Saccharomyces cerevisiae S288C: one gene and its partners. The main gene of each other region encodes a partner of the protein of the gene in region 3 in a complex. Each region holds a gene or a part of one and is shown on either strand. Other genes may lie near its edges. The genes, in order: SIR2, ESC1 and SIR4. A codon is read from its position in the direction of its gene.

What was found.
Region 1: the proteins of SIR4 (region 3) and SIR2 are in contact, whole or in part, in a crystal structure (PDB 4IAO), measured with the Saccharomyces cerevisiae proteins. Residues at the interface, in NP_010513.1 of Saccharomyces cerevisiae: Gly745, Lys746, Met747, Glu748, Leu749, Val750, Tyr751, Asp810, Leu813, Thr814, Ile817, Leu818, Ile821, Ala822, Lys824, Thr825, Tyr827, Asp828, Lys829, Ile832, Thr833, Leu835, Ile836, Glu837, Gln838, Gly839, Ile840, Pro841, His843, Tyr845; in NP_010242.1 of Saccharomyces cerevisiae: Met100 (codon at 1,538), Asn102 (codon at 1,532), Leu105 (codon at 1,523), Lys132 (codon at 1,442), Ser135 (codon at 1,433), Leu136 (codon at 1,430), Arg139 (codon at 1,421), Lys143 (codon at 1,409), Tyr144 (codon at 1,406), Tyr145 (codon at 1,403), Gly146 (codon at 1,400), Ala147 (codon at 1,397), His148 (codon at 1,394), Leu151 (codon at 1,385), Asp152 (codon at 1,382), Pro156 (codon at 1,370), Glu157 (codon at 1,367), Leu159 (codon at 1,361), Asn160 (codon at 1,358), Ser161 (codon at 1,355), Ile164 (codon at 1,346), Ile168 (codon at 1,334), Gly172 (codon at 1,322), Phe173 (codon at 1,319), Glu174 (codon at 1,316), Val175 (codon at 1,313), Lys176 (codon at 1,310), Asp210 (codon at 1,208), Leu212 (codon at 1,202), Ala213 (codon at 1,199).
Region 2: the proteins of SIR4 (region 3) and ESC1 are in contact, whole or in part, in a crystal structure (PDB 6QSZ), measured with the Saccharomyces cerevisiae proteins. Residues at the interface, in NP_010513.1 of Saccharomyces cerevisiae: Ser970, Lys971, Trp974, Glu977, Trp978, Asn981, Arg1066, Trp1068, Lys1072, Phe1076, Asn1079; in NP_013946.1 of Saccharomyces cerevisiae: Thr1446, Asp1447, Leu1448, Pro1449, Ser1450, Asp1451, Pro1452, Pro1453.

The regions. Positions count from the first base shown.
Region 1 is NC_001136.10:376,611-380,961, forward strand, and holds SIR2 (NAD-dependent histone deacetylase SIR2), read right to left. Parts: upstream 1,836-4,351; coding exon 147-1,835; downstream 1-146. Other genes in the region: peptide alpha-N-acetyltransferase complex A subunit NAT1, read right to left, coding at 2,264-4,351. UniProt on the Saccharomyces cerevisiae protein: NAD-dependent deacetylase, which participates in a wide range of cellular events including chromosome silencing, chromosome segregation, DNA recombination and the determination of life span.
Region 2 is NC_001145.3:705,447-709,797, reverse strand, and holds the start of ESC1 (Esc1p), read right to left. Parts: upstream 2,666-4,351; coding exon 1-2,665. Other genes in the region: transport protein particle complex II subunit TRS130, read left to right, coding at 2,911-4,351. UniProt on the Saccharomyces cerevisiae protein: Involved in the clustering of telomeres at the nuclear periphery, forming discrete subcompartments that accumulate a complex of histone-binding silencing factors like SIR4. Required for SIR4-mediated anchoring and partitioning of plasmids.
Region 3 is NC_001136.10:915,041-919,391, reverse strand, and holds the start of SIR4 (chromatin-silencing protein SIR4), read right to left. Parts: upstream 1,822-4,351; coding exon 1-1,821. Other genes in the region: adenylate kinase ADK1, read right to left, coding at 2,238-2,906; HTA1 (histone H2A), read right to left, coding at 3,464-3,862. UniProt on the Saccharomyces cerevisiae protein: The proteins SIR1 through SIR4 are required for transcriptional repression of the silent mating type loci, HML and HMR. The proteins SIR2 through SIR4 repress mulitple loci by modulating chromatin structure.

The DNA of each region.
Region 1 (4,351 bases), 540 kb from region 3:
ACATGTAATATTTCACCCGGTACAATGAAAATAGCAGAATGTAAATAATATTTGACTACAATAATTGAAAGGAAAACAAAATTGTTTGCCATACTATGTAAATTGATATTAATTTGGCACTTTTAAATTATTAAATTGCCTTCTACTTAGAGGGTTTTGGGATGTTCATCTGATGTAACGACATACACGCCCTTATCCTTCTCTTGGCATTTAAAGTTCTTGTTCTTCAAATCGTTCCATTTCTTATGCGGAATCGTCCAGCCACATTTTTGGGCTACCATAGCTGCAATGTCATCACAGTACCCCAAAAGAGATAAATCAAATTCTGCGTGCTTGACGGGATCACGATTAATCAGGACTTGGGGAACGTGGGAAGGAACCATGTTTACGATTTCAGACACTGGCGCTACTTTTAAACTTGTCCCAATGCAAATCAACAAATCACATTCTAAGATATCTTCGCGAATGCTCTTATGAAATTTATTTGGCAGTGCTTCGCCAAAGAATGTGATATCTGGTTTGAGAACGCCATATGAGTTAAGGATATATGGAGGCCTTTCCGACATTGAACCCTGTGATGCAGCAACACCTACTTTATTATTATATCCCTCTGGGAAATATTCTCTTCTTTTTTTGTAACAGTACGGGCATAGTGGAAGTTCGAGGTTTCTAATTTTATTAAATATCCTCTCACCGGGTAGGTTCCAATGGCAGGTAACGCAGGTGGCAGTAGCAAAAGAGCCATGGCACTGCACCAGTTTATCTGTGCTTATTCCCGCATAAGATTCCAAATTATCAATGTTTTGAGTATAATTTCTCAATAATTTCCCTTTCATTTGTAGCATCTTAATGAAACTATGCAATGGAGAATAAATTTTTTCTGGAGGTAAAACCATATTGGCAATATTATAGAAAACAGAGGGGTCGTGCATAAATATATTGTAATTGAAAACGTCTTGGGGATCATCGAGCCCCAAATGTTTGATCTTTGAATAGAACCCCTCAGAAGATCTGAAGTCCGGGATCCCTAATGAAGTTGAAACACCTGCACCAGTCAGGACCAAAATTTTTCTAGCGGTATGTAATTTTTGAATAAAATGATCAATAGTGAAAAAATTGGATAATCTTAATCTTGTACATAGAACTTTGTTAATTGCTCTTTGCAAATCTTTGATTAGACGAACTGTTTGCTTTTTTGCCAATGGGTCTTCAACATTTGTGACAGATATTGCACTTCCCAAATCTTGAACACGCTCTTGCGAGTTGATATGGACAATACTGTTGATGGTGCCGATAAGCGCTTGATCTTTAACTTCAAAGCCTAGCAACTTGATAAGATAGTAAATGTATAACGAGTTCAAATCCTCGGGGAGGTAAGTGTCTAAAAATTTGTGTGCACCATAGTATTTCAGAAACATTCGAGCATTGAGAGACTCTCGTTTAGTGAAGGAGGGACCATAGAAAATACCATTTGATGGGTTTTTACTGATTATGATTGGCCCCTTGGGCGTCTCTGGTTTCAAAACGTCATTGGACATTGACACTACTGAAGCTGCTGACACTGCCAAGGGATCCATGTCATTAGTTGGTTTGAGCTCCATCGATGCCACTTCTCCGAGCGCAGCTTTAGTGTGCCCAAGTGGATCTGTTGTGTTGGTTTCCCTCAAGGAATCCGGCTGTGCTACTTTTATCTTCTTATGTGAAGGTTCATCATTATTTATAATGTCATCGGGTTGTTTTCTGATCGCGTCTTTATCTTGTGTGGGGCTTACTGTATTTGAAACCTTATTTTCGCTAGTCTTTGATACGGCGTATTTCATATGTGGGATGGTCATCCAGCTTTAATGTGCCGATGAGGGAAAAATGGTTTGAATGTGTCTACCGAAGCGATGCCTAATTTCTTGAAATACGTGAGAATGGGCTTTACATCTCTTCACTAAATATATTTTTCTTGGGTGGTGAAAAAGACAAGTCTTTCAAACTATGCGACCTAGAAAAAAAATATTTTACCGCAACTGGCGGCCAAAGAGGACAAAGAAAAATTCCTCGTTTTTTCTCTGAGATGGGAAAGCAAGAATTTTGGCAAGAAAAGGTCCTGGCTGTCCTGGACCATGGTTGGAAGGAGTGCTAGATGTAGCTTGGAAAAGAAATGACCTATAACAATGTATCTTTTATGAGCATATGCGCATGCATATAAGCATATACATAAAAAATATATACATAAATTAAGTAAGAGTTAATTGACACATTGAGGAGTTGCAGGCTACAAGTAATACTGTAGAATTTCGTTCTGGGAGTGAGGCTCCAAGGGAGAAAGACTGCTAATAATCATTTCTTTCAAATTAGAGCTTCCGATCGGAACATCATCGCGATAGCGATACAGAAATAGCAGGCCATTTATATCATTCTTACCGAATTTTTCTTGGTAGAAATTCAGCCAATCGAAGCTATTGTTAGATATTTCGTTTAATGGGAAATTTTCAGAATACTCTTTTTCAAGGCTCTTCGTGACTACTTTCTTCAAAATTGGATCAAAGGGGGTGTCGTTTCTTGTGGCATGTAACAAAACAATGGCCATACTACCAAATAAACCGCTCGTGGTGCCAAATCTCTTAGCGAATTTGTTTAGAGAAGCAAAGCACAAAGCTAACTTTCCAATTCTGTAGTTAAATTCAAAGTCCAAAATATAATCCCTTTCGTCTTCTCTGACTTGCATGGAGTAGTTATTATAAAATTCGGTAGCGAAGTCCTCCATTGGAGTGGAGGTTTCAATCAACTTTTCGCCGAATACATCGTTATCTTGATCACTCGGATAAGCAGCAACACTCTTGGCTTCAGTTTCTTTCCGTTTGTTCATAGCGGCTGCTTCCTTCTTAGCTTTTTTCTTTTGGCTGCTACTATTTTGGCCATTATTTTGGATTTCATCTGAATTTTCATCTAAAGAATCGGACTTTCTTTTTAAGCGATCATCATGCATTTGAAAGTAAAGCTTTGATGCTTCCTTCATTGCGCGAACATACATGGGTTTGGTATAAAGTGCCTTTCCCCATTCTAACATCTCCAGATAGGCTCTTGGCGTACCTTTTCTCATACAGTATGAATGGAAATCCAACTGGTCATCTTCGAATTGTTTATAAAACTTTGGAATAGCGTTGAATCTTTTCAGCGCCAAACCTTTATATTTGCGAACAAGCCATTGGTTTTCTTTGATATCATTCGCAATTTGTTCGCTTTTATCACTTTCAACCTCTTTTTTTAGCGATGCTAAATCGTCTAATTTCTTTTTTCTATCCAGGTATAGTCTATAATAGGCTTCTGCCTGTTCTACGATGAACCAAGAAGCTTCCACAAGGTGTAAGTCCTTAATACCATTAACAGAATCATCGTTTTTGGTGAAAAGGGACGCGACTTCCACCGCCTTGTCGATATTGTTAGCCCTTAAAAAGTACTTAACCGTTTTACAGTTGATAAATCTATCCTGCAAATCAAGTTGCCTACCTTCCTCCAAAATTCCAGCCGCTGTGTCCATTAGGCCTAAGTGCTTCAGGATACGTGCCTTGAGGATGTAAAACTCAACTAAAGTTGGGGTGTGGTCAAGGGCAGCATCAATATATTCTTGGGCTTTCGGAAAATCCTTAAGGAAAAGGAAATGTTGAGACAAGTAATAATTGGTCCAAATAAAAGGAATTGGATCCTGCGTAGGATCTAATCCGGACAAATAATCAAGGACAATTTTCTCCAATAGTGGTGAAACCTTGGACTTCCTTCTTTGGTAAAGGGGTTTCACGTTGGAAAAAGTTGCTGGAACACCGCGCTCCAATTGAGGCAAAACATATTCTCTCAATTTTTTGCTGAGCTCTTCTTTGTCTTGAAGGAAAGTTAATGGAATAAATTTGGGTGGTTCGCATCTTGGATAAAATTGTTCAAGTTTTCCATACAAAGCCTTCTTCAATTTATTGTCACCTTGGATTCCCAAGGATACTTCCAGTAATTTGTAGTACTTAAAATTATCTGGATTTCTCTTGATCAGAGTTCTATAAACAATGGACGCGTCTTTCAATTGACCCAATTTCATGTAAATAGTTGCTTTTCTCTCTAATAAACCAAATTTATCAAAGACGCATGGCTCGATATCATTCAAATGTTTCAATACATTTTGTAACTTGTCTTGGTTATCACTGGCAGCTTTATACATAATGTCGTTTTTGTACATTAAACACTCGCTGTGTTCATATTTCTCGGAATCAGATATTTTTCCCTCAGCGAGTTTTTCAAACTGAGATAAAGTGTTAATAGCTTGTTGCCTCTCACCGTTCACATCTTGTGCCACAGCCAATGATGTCCAGTTGGC
Region 2 (4,351 bases), on a different chromosome or scaffold from region 3:
GCGAATCTGTTGAAAACGAAATTTGAGTTTTACTACCATCATCATTCTGTTTTACGCATTCATCGCCAGAAGACATCTCAGCTTCGTTCATATCCTTTTCACAGTATCTTAAATTTTCTTCTACATTTGAAGCCGTTTCAATTATGTCCTCGCAGGAAGAGTCTCCTGTAACGTTGGTATAATTAATCGCTGAAAAGTACTTTTCATCCGTGTTATCTTCAGTTGACTTGTCAGTACTGTTAGCCACGCCTGGAAAATTTTTACTTTGATTTTTATTTTCATCACCTGTATTTTCATTTTCAAAAGTAACGTTTTCCGTAGATTCATCCAAATCGCTCACCTGTTTAGTTTCCTTACTTGTGTGAAAAATGTTTGTGTGCCCAGATGTAGATGTCAAGCATGATTTCGTCACTCCAGCTTCCACAAATTCTGCATCCTTTTTGGTGAAAGCTGGGGCAAGGGCTGCTAACGTTGATTTCAGTAGGTCATGCTTCTTTTCGTAATCATCGTTCAACGAATTGAATGGGTCATTCATAAATGGTGAAGTGTACTCCACTTGCGGTGGCATGGCAACTGTGTTATCTTCGTAAGAAGTAGAACTATACACAGATTCAGAAATTACTACTTCATATTTCGGAGTTGTTTTGATTTCCATAAGAGGAACATCGGTAAGATTCTCTGATATAGCATCAGCGTCATCGAGTGAATAATAGATACTGTCTTCATTTCCTAATGATGAATTGTTAATCGTAGTATCTGTGGATAGTGGTACCAGTTCTTTTTCTGTAGAACCGTCCAGTTTCTTTTCAGAAACTTTTTCAACCTCTATTTCAACAGAAGATGAAAGATCACCTCGGTCTGTTTTTAAATTATTATTGTTTTCACCTGTGAAGTCCTTTAGGGGTATTTGCTCTTCGGATTCGTCTAAAGACCTGCCCGATAAGTTGCTTCCATTTGAGTGCCCTAAATAAGATTCGGATACCTGCTCCTCTTTTTGAGGGCAGTTCGAATTTCTACTTTGTTGGAATTGAAGCATAGCCCTTGCGGCGAGATCATACAAATTATCAGGGGAATGCTCGTGCAAATCACTTTCGACACTTTTTCCTGTTACGTCATAACCTTCAACATCGTTAATTTGATTTTCTCTTTCTACTATAGCAGGATCAGTTTCATTCTCCAAAACATTTTCCGAGTATTCACTTTTGTTGTTGTTTCCGTGAAAATTTTTGTCTAGAGAGCTTCTGATAATGTCATCTTTTTCAGGTTCTTCGTCATTTTCCTGTTGTTCCACTTTGTTCTTAGTATAAGCATCTTTAGCGAAACCTTGGTCTCTGCTTTCGCTGGTATTCTCAGTTTCTTCTGACGTGCTTTTTTCGTTTTTCATTTTATATTCAAAATCATCTTCACTTCCTTGTTCGCTTTCTTGTGCACTTTGGGATTCACTATCTGAAGATTCTATATCTTCTATTAGTTCCTTATCATCCAGTTCATGTTCATTATGGTGGTACACATTTTCAGCATTTGCTGAGTAACTTTCAGCTTGACTTTCTTCATCCTCGGACTCATCGTCAACTGAAATATTTACTGAACCGAAATCAAATGCACCGTCTTCTGAATATCTTTGATGGACTTTGTGCTCATCAGATTCATATTTTTCGATAACGGGGATCTTAGTATTATCTGTTCTAGGCTGCATGTATTTTGAAAAATCTACCGAATGTTCTGTTCCTTCTGCACCCTGACTTTCATCTTTTTCAGCATCGCTTTCCACATCAATGTCGTCTTCTAATTCCATTTCTACTCCCTCTGAATAATTCTGTCCTTCACTGGAATCAGAAGAACTAATTTGTGTAGCATTCTCTACATTTGCCTGTTCTTGCCCTATATTCTTTCTCTCAACTTGCCCCTCCTCTTCGGCATATTCATCATTCGATACATCTTGTAGTGCTCCTTCCTCTGCATATTCTTCATCTGATAATATCATTATTGAAGGACTACTTTGGCCGTCACTATTCTTTTCTTCTTCAGAGAGCTCGTATTCATCATTTTCAAGATCGAAATCTTTGATTAAAGATTGTTTACCTTCCAGATCTTCATCCTTATCGGAGTCGATATTTGAGGACGACTCGTCCTCAGCGTCCGGTAAGGGAGAACTTATGAAACTATCTAAGGGAATTTCATCATTATTTTGGAAAGAAGTATCCGTTCCGTATTGGCTCTTCCTGAGATCGATTAGTCGCTGATGAGATTTACTGTTTCCTGTGTACTTGTTCATTAAAGAGTCATGAAGCTGAAAACGTTGTCTTTCCTCCTCAAGACTACGCTCAAACAAGGCATCTTCCTTTTCTAGTGTAGTAAGTATACTTTTCCCCCTATTAATTAGAGAATCTACCCAGCTTAATGCCCTCGCACTATCTTCATGAAGGGATTTATTATGAATATGACTGCTTCGCCTGGAGGAAATAGATTCATGTAAAGTCGAGTGCTGAGTAGGCTTTGCTACTCTGTATTTATCATTGTGGACCCTTGAGTACCCATGTTGATCTTTCATTTTGGAATCCTCGTCCGCGTCAAGGAGAGATGACAGTATTTTCAGTTTTCTTCTTGGGGTCGTCAGTTTAAGTTTATTTGCCCTTGGAGTAAAGGTTTCTTTTTTTTTTGACATATTTTCACAGTATAGATTTATTGGTTCTTGTACTTAACCCCTTGGTGAATTTACAACGTGTTCAATATACTTGTCAATAGGACTAAAGACTTTCTCGCATTTTAAATTCCTTTGTTTTCACTTCTTAAGAACAGCTCGCGGAACATGAAAATGGTGAAAAGTGCAAGTTAGAAGTTTTGAAAGAAAGTGAGCATAAAAGCAATAAAAATAGCCAGTGAACTTGCTTTTACATGCTAATATAGTAGATGGATAAAGAAATATATTGTGGATCGGTTCCTGTCAGCTATTTTGACCCGTTTGATTTATTTGAGAGTCTGAGGCCAGAGTTTCAGCAGATTTTACCGTTAGACAATATACATTGGAAGGCATTTGACGGAACTGTACGAACGGTTAACAGGCTTCCAATTGAATTGATTCCAGAAGGTAGAGGGGAGGCAGACAAGTCTAATGATGAACAGCCGTTTATCAGATTTTTGATAGTGAACTGTATCTCTATCGACCAATACAGGGCCAAAGTACGGCCTCTTGTGAGACAGTGGCTACCAAATCTGGAATCTGTATCTTCATCGACAGGAGAAAAAATGATTTATAAACCAATTATTTTACTGTATGCCAATTCTGAAGTAGTGGACTCTAACCTATTCAAATCGGTATCCCTAATGGAGAAATTTGGCAAAGACTTTCCGCATGTACAAACTTTGGAAGTTCGATCGGTTTATAGATCTCCCAAAGAAAGGCAGGAGTTTTGGAACCAATTTAGCCAAAAGATTAAGGCTTCCGTACTGAGCATCTTTCAAAAACGATTGACACATTTGCAACATTCGTTGGCCAATTTACAAAAAGGAAATAACTTTGAGGAACAGCTTTTGACAAGAGAAAAATTGTACGAGTTATATGTGGTATTCAATATTTTGGAAGATGCCAGCCTGGAATTGCAAAAAATCAAAAAAGAAATACTCCGTAGAAACATGAATATGCCGGATGGAAAACTTCAGGTACCTTTTGAATCATCTTCTAAATCAGATGAATCACTGGGCTCCATAATAATAGAAGGTACACTCGATAAGTTTCAATTGCATAAGTATTTTTTCATTAGAAGGTTAAGACTTCTAAAACTAGAGGACCAGACGTTGACCGCCTTTGTAGGAGCATTTCAACTAATCAAGAATTTTATTGAATCCATATCAATAGAGTATAGAAAGTCTGTGAGATTATTGGAATTTAAGCACTATTTTATAACTTCGATGCTGTCATATTTTGAATTTGAGAATGTCTCAAATCCTCTCTTGTGTGAAATCAAAGCTGAGTTATTAATGTTGAAGCGCGACAACTGGGTGCAAGGTGTTATGGCTACAAGTGGTTATAGACTAATGGACAAAAACTACCCTAATAGTGACGTTAAATACAAATTTGATCTATTAAAAGAAACTTTTGTCGATGAAACTGTCTTCCAAGAAAACTTCCTTACTCTCACCAAAGAAATTCTTTCTCTCTTCAACAAATGTGAAGGGAAGCGTCAAAGGATAGTAGATATTTTATCCATTGAGATAGGTTTGCTTTACTATCAGGGAAAGAAATATGAGGAGGCAGTCTCGCTTTTCCTTTCCTGTTACGAATATTATACTCAAACGAACTGGAATAGCATTGGTTTGAAAATATTGCAAGTTTTCATTGATTCCTTGAGCC
Region 3 (4,351 bases):
AAAAAGGTCATTAGTTCCAATTTTTATATCTTTTTTTTGTGTAACTTTATGTGTGGAAGGAAGAGCAGTGTTTTGTGATTTATTTAAAGGGTTTTGAATAGTTTTCTTAGCCTCATTTGATGATTCTTTCGTATGCAAAATATCTCGCACAATTTCCTTAGGCTCTAATTTCTTTTGGATGTTTATTGTACCGTTTGAGATATTTGGAGTTCGCCCTTCATTAGGCTTATGCTTTTTCATAGGATTCGGTATTTCTCCTAGCTGGGGCCTCTTTGATGGTGTAACATTCAGGGTATTGTTTCTCGAATCAATGTGGGATTCTCCTTGTACTTTTTGAAGCACTTTTCGACCATCTATTCGTACACTCTGTATCTGCTTTGTGGTTTCTTCGGTTACTTTGTTTACGTGAGCTTCAGTGCTCATGATTTCAGGCGGCCTCTTACCAATTTTCTTGTTTTCACCATTTTTATTCTTTGCAGAAGTGTTCATATCATTTTTCTTTTCTGTGCTTCGAGAAGTAGAGTTATAGTTGTTTTCTTGGCCTTCATATTCAACAAGAAAAGCAAGTTTTGTAGTTTCTTCATCTCTAGTGGAAAAATTTCGGCTGTTTCTACGCCCTTGAGGTCTGTCAGCTGGACTTTTCGACAAATGAGGTGACTTTAAGATTTCCATCCTCTTGAGGTCGGCGTCTTCCTTCATTTTTTGTTCAGATGTTATAGGCTGATGCTTCGAAGGTGCAAGTGTTTTCTCATCGTGCAGTGTTATTTTATCTTGATCAATGGCGACTTTTTTTGGAGATGGAACGATCTTCTTTGATGTTAGAGTTTCTGTCGTGGCTGACGTCCCATTGGTATCTAAGGCCGATGCGACCGTACTATTTGCACTATTCTCATCTAATTTTACTGGTTTTTCTTGATTTATTTCTAAACGCTCGTTAGTAGATTCCTCATTTATTCCATACACTTCTGTTTGTATGGCATTCGGTTTTGCAATTCCAGGACTTCTTGCCTTGCTCTCCTCCGGTGATATACCACTGTCACCGGCACTAACCTTCGGAACTGATAGTGAATCAGAATGGGCAAAGTTTTTACCTATATTCAACTTTTCTTCTTTTTTTTCTTCTACGGTATCTTTCCTGATAGATTTGTCCTTGGTCAAAGAAATCACAGAGGCGCCGATGTCTGCTGATCCTTTTTTAAGTGGCTTCTCTAAAACAGGCTGTTCGTTTGCCAAGTTTATGCCTAGAATCTCTTTAGAGTAATCCCTTATTTTCTCTTCACTTAGTAAGCTTTTTACTCCTGATAAAAATGAGTTATTGGTTTGTGATGTTGATATCGGTACTATGGTACGTACAGGCTTTGAATTGAAGGTAGAAGTTTGTTGCTGCGCATGCCGGGAAAATGCTGTTTGTTCAAAACTTGCTAGAGACCTGCTAGCATCATGTGAAGGATTGTTTGATTCAATTCTTCCTGCTGACGTTTTGGACCGAAGAAGGGAGAGTAGTTTGCTGTTGCTTATTTTTTCCAGATTTGAGTGAGGAAAAGAATTATAGTTATTTTTTTTCAGTGGTGAGGATTTTGGCTGTTGCAACTGTTTATGGGAAGTCGGTTTTACATCACTTGGTTGATGAGGTGAGGTATGAATTGCGGTTGACGGCCTTGAATAGTTTTTGCTTTTGGCAAACGTGAATAATGGAATTTTAGGTGTCTTCACTTCATTGGATTTTTCTTCTCTTTCAGGAATTTTATCATTCGGGGTTACTGGTTTTTTAGTAAACTTGGGAGTGCTGGACCTATTGGGTGTCTTATTGTCATTTGGCATTGGCTGTTTTCTTCGCTTTTTTGGTATTGTGGGTTGAAGCTTCCTTTTTTTTTTTATCCCCTGCAAAACGATGTCCAGTTAGAACTCTGACTGAATTATAAAACCTGAAAAGCGCTTATTTCGTTATAGGTTTATAAAAAGCTTCACTATTACTGTTATACCGTTTTTGTTTATGTGATGCGCTTTTGTTCATCTATTTAGTAATATGATTTGCGTTCGTTCTCAACGATAAAAATATTGACTAAGTACTTAATGGCAGTGCACATGTTTAAGGACGTTATAGCCAGTTACAAACACTTATGTTATTATTTCATTTATAGTATACTGCGGATATATGTACTCACATACAAAAATTTATTATATTTTCATTAATTTAAAAAAAAGAAAAGATATTTAGAAGACATTGCGCAAGGTCATTAATCCTTACCTAGCTTGTTCAAGATGTCAGCCCAAACAGTAGCAGGAGGTTGGGAAGCATCAACACCAGCCCAGATACCGGTCTTTTTGTAAAAGTCAACAATTGGTTCGGTTTGAGCATGGTAAGCAGCTAATCTCTTCTTCAAGGCGTCTGCATTGTCATCAGATCTTTGAACTAAAGCTTCACCGGTGACGTCATCCTTCATGTCTTCCTTTGGTGGGTTAAAGATCTTGTGGTAGGATCTGCCAGAGGCTGGGTGAATTAATCTACCGGTAATTCTGGCAACCAACAATTCATCATCAACCTTCAATTCGATGGCTTTTTCCAAAGGAGTTCCTTGTTCTTTCAACATTTGGTCCAATTTTTCAGCCTGAGGAATGGTTCTTGGGAAACCGTCCAAGATGAACCCATTCTTACAAGCTGGATTGTTGGTCAATTCATCCTTGATCATGTTAACCATAATGTCATCAGAGACTAAACCACCTTGGTCCATAATTTTCTTTGCTTCCAAACCTAATTGAGTGCCCTTTGCGATTTGAGATCTCAACATGTCACCAGTGGCCAAGTGAGCGGCATGGAAACGCTCTTGCAAATTTGGAGCTTGAGTACCTTTACCGGCACCAGGTGGGCCAATTAGGACCATTCTAATGGATTCTGAGCTAGACATTACTGTTATATTTGATGCTGTGTGGTGACTTTACCAGAGAAACGTTAATGTTTCTTTATTAAAGCTCTCGTTTCTGATAAACCAGGTAATCCATTTCAGAAATTTATGCGTATATATATATACAAATATGCGTAATAAAACTAGCCAGAGTGAAAAAGTCGAAAATCAAAAAAAAATGGGCGAATAAGGACAGAAGCCGCGGGCTGCTGCGGACAGTTCTCCGTGACAGGATCGCGCAATCGTGAGCTTTTTTCCTTTGGTTGTGAAAATTTCGTCACACTATCAAAGTGAACAAAGCACAGAATGTGTTTGCTACTCAATCATGTTCAAGTAAGCAACAGTGCCCAATGAACCTAAACAGAGCAACAGAGAAAACAGGAAGACACAACAAAAAATTTATATCATGCATGACATATGTTACCGTTAATTATATACCCAATAAATTATATATAGAAAAATAAAAAGGAAAAACAGAAAGGTCTAATAGACACTTAATATAGTTACAATGGAGAAGCAGTTTAGTTCCTTCCGCCTTCTTTAAAATACCAGAACCGATCTTATAATTCTTGAGAAGCCTTGGTAGCCTTGGCAGACTTCTTTGGCAACAAGTTTTGATGGATGTTTGGCAAAACACCACCTTGGGCAATGGTAACGTTACCCAATAGCTTGTTCAATTCGTCATCATTTCTGATAGCCAATTGCAAATGTCTTGGAATAATTCTGGTCTTCTTGTTATCCCTAGCAGCATTACCAGCTAATTCTAAAATTTCAGCGGCCAAATATTCCAAGACAGCAGTCAAGTAGACTGGAGCACCAGAACCAATTCTTTGGGCGTAGTTACCTCTTCTTAGCAATCTGTGCACTCTACCGACTGGGAATGTCAAACCAGCCTTAGCAGATCTAGATTGAGAAGCTTTAGCAGCTGAACCAGCTTTACCACCTTTACCACCGGACATTTTATATTTTATATGTATGAAATTTGTTTGTTTTGAAGTTGTTTATTCACTGAGAAATAACCAAATCCGTATGATGATGTAGTATCAAGAAGAGAAGTACAGATTGGAAGTAAATAGATGATGGTTCAACAAGACCAGAAAATCTACAAGCTGATTAGGAGTCTTATTTATATATTTTTTAGGTCAAGACTTATTGCTAGTATTTACGATCCACTGGCTGGCTTCGTGAACGGGGAAGGGGGTGAGAAAAGATTTTGAAATCAACAAAGTGGGCAATAACAAATAACAGCATGAGAAACCACATATCTCTACGGGCGTTTCTTCAACAACGACGAGTTAACTATTGTGCTCTTTTTTTGAGCCACCAAATACACTCCATTCCAATAGCTTCGCACAGTGAGGCGAAAATTTTGGAACAGCGCTAATGAATTATTTGTGAGCTCGGCGAGTTCAAATTTGAAGAAAACGCGGTTGGGTCGTTAACTATGG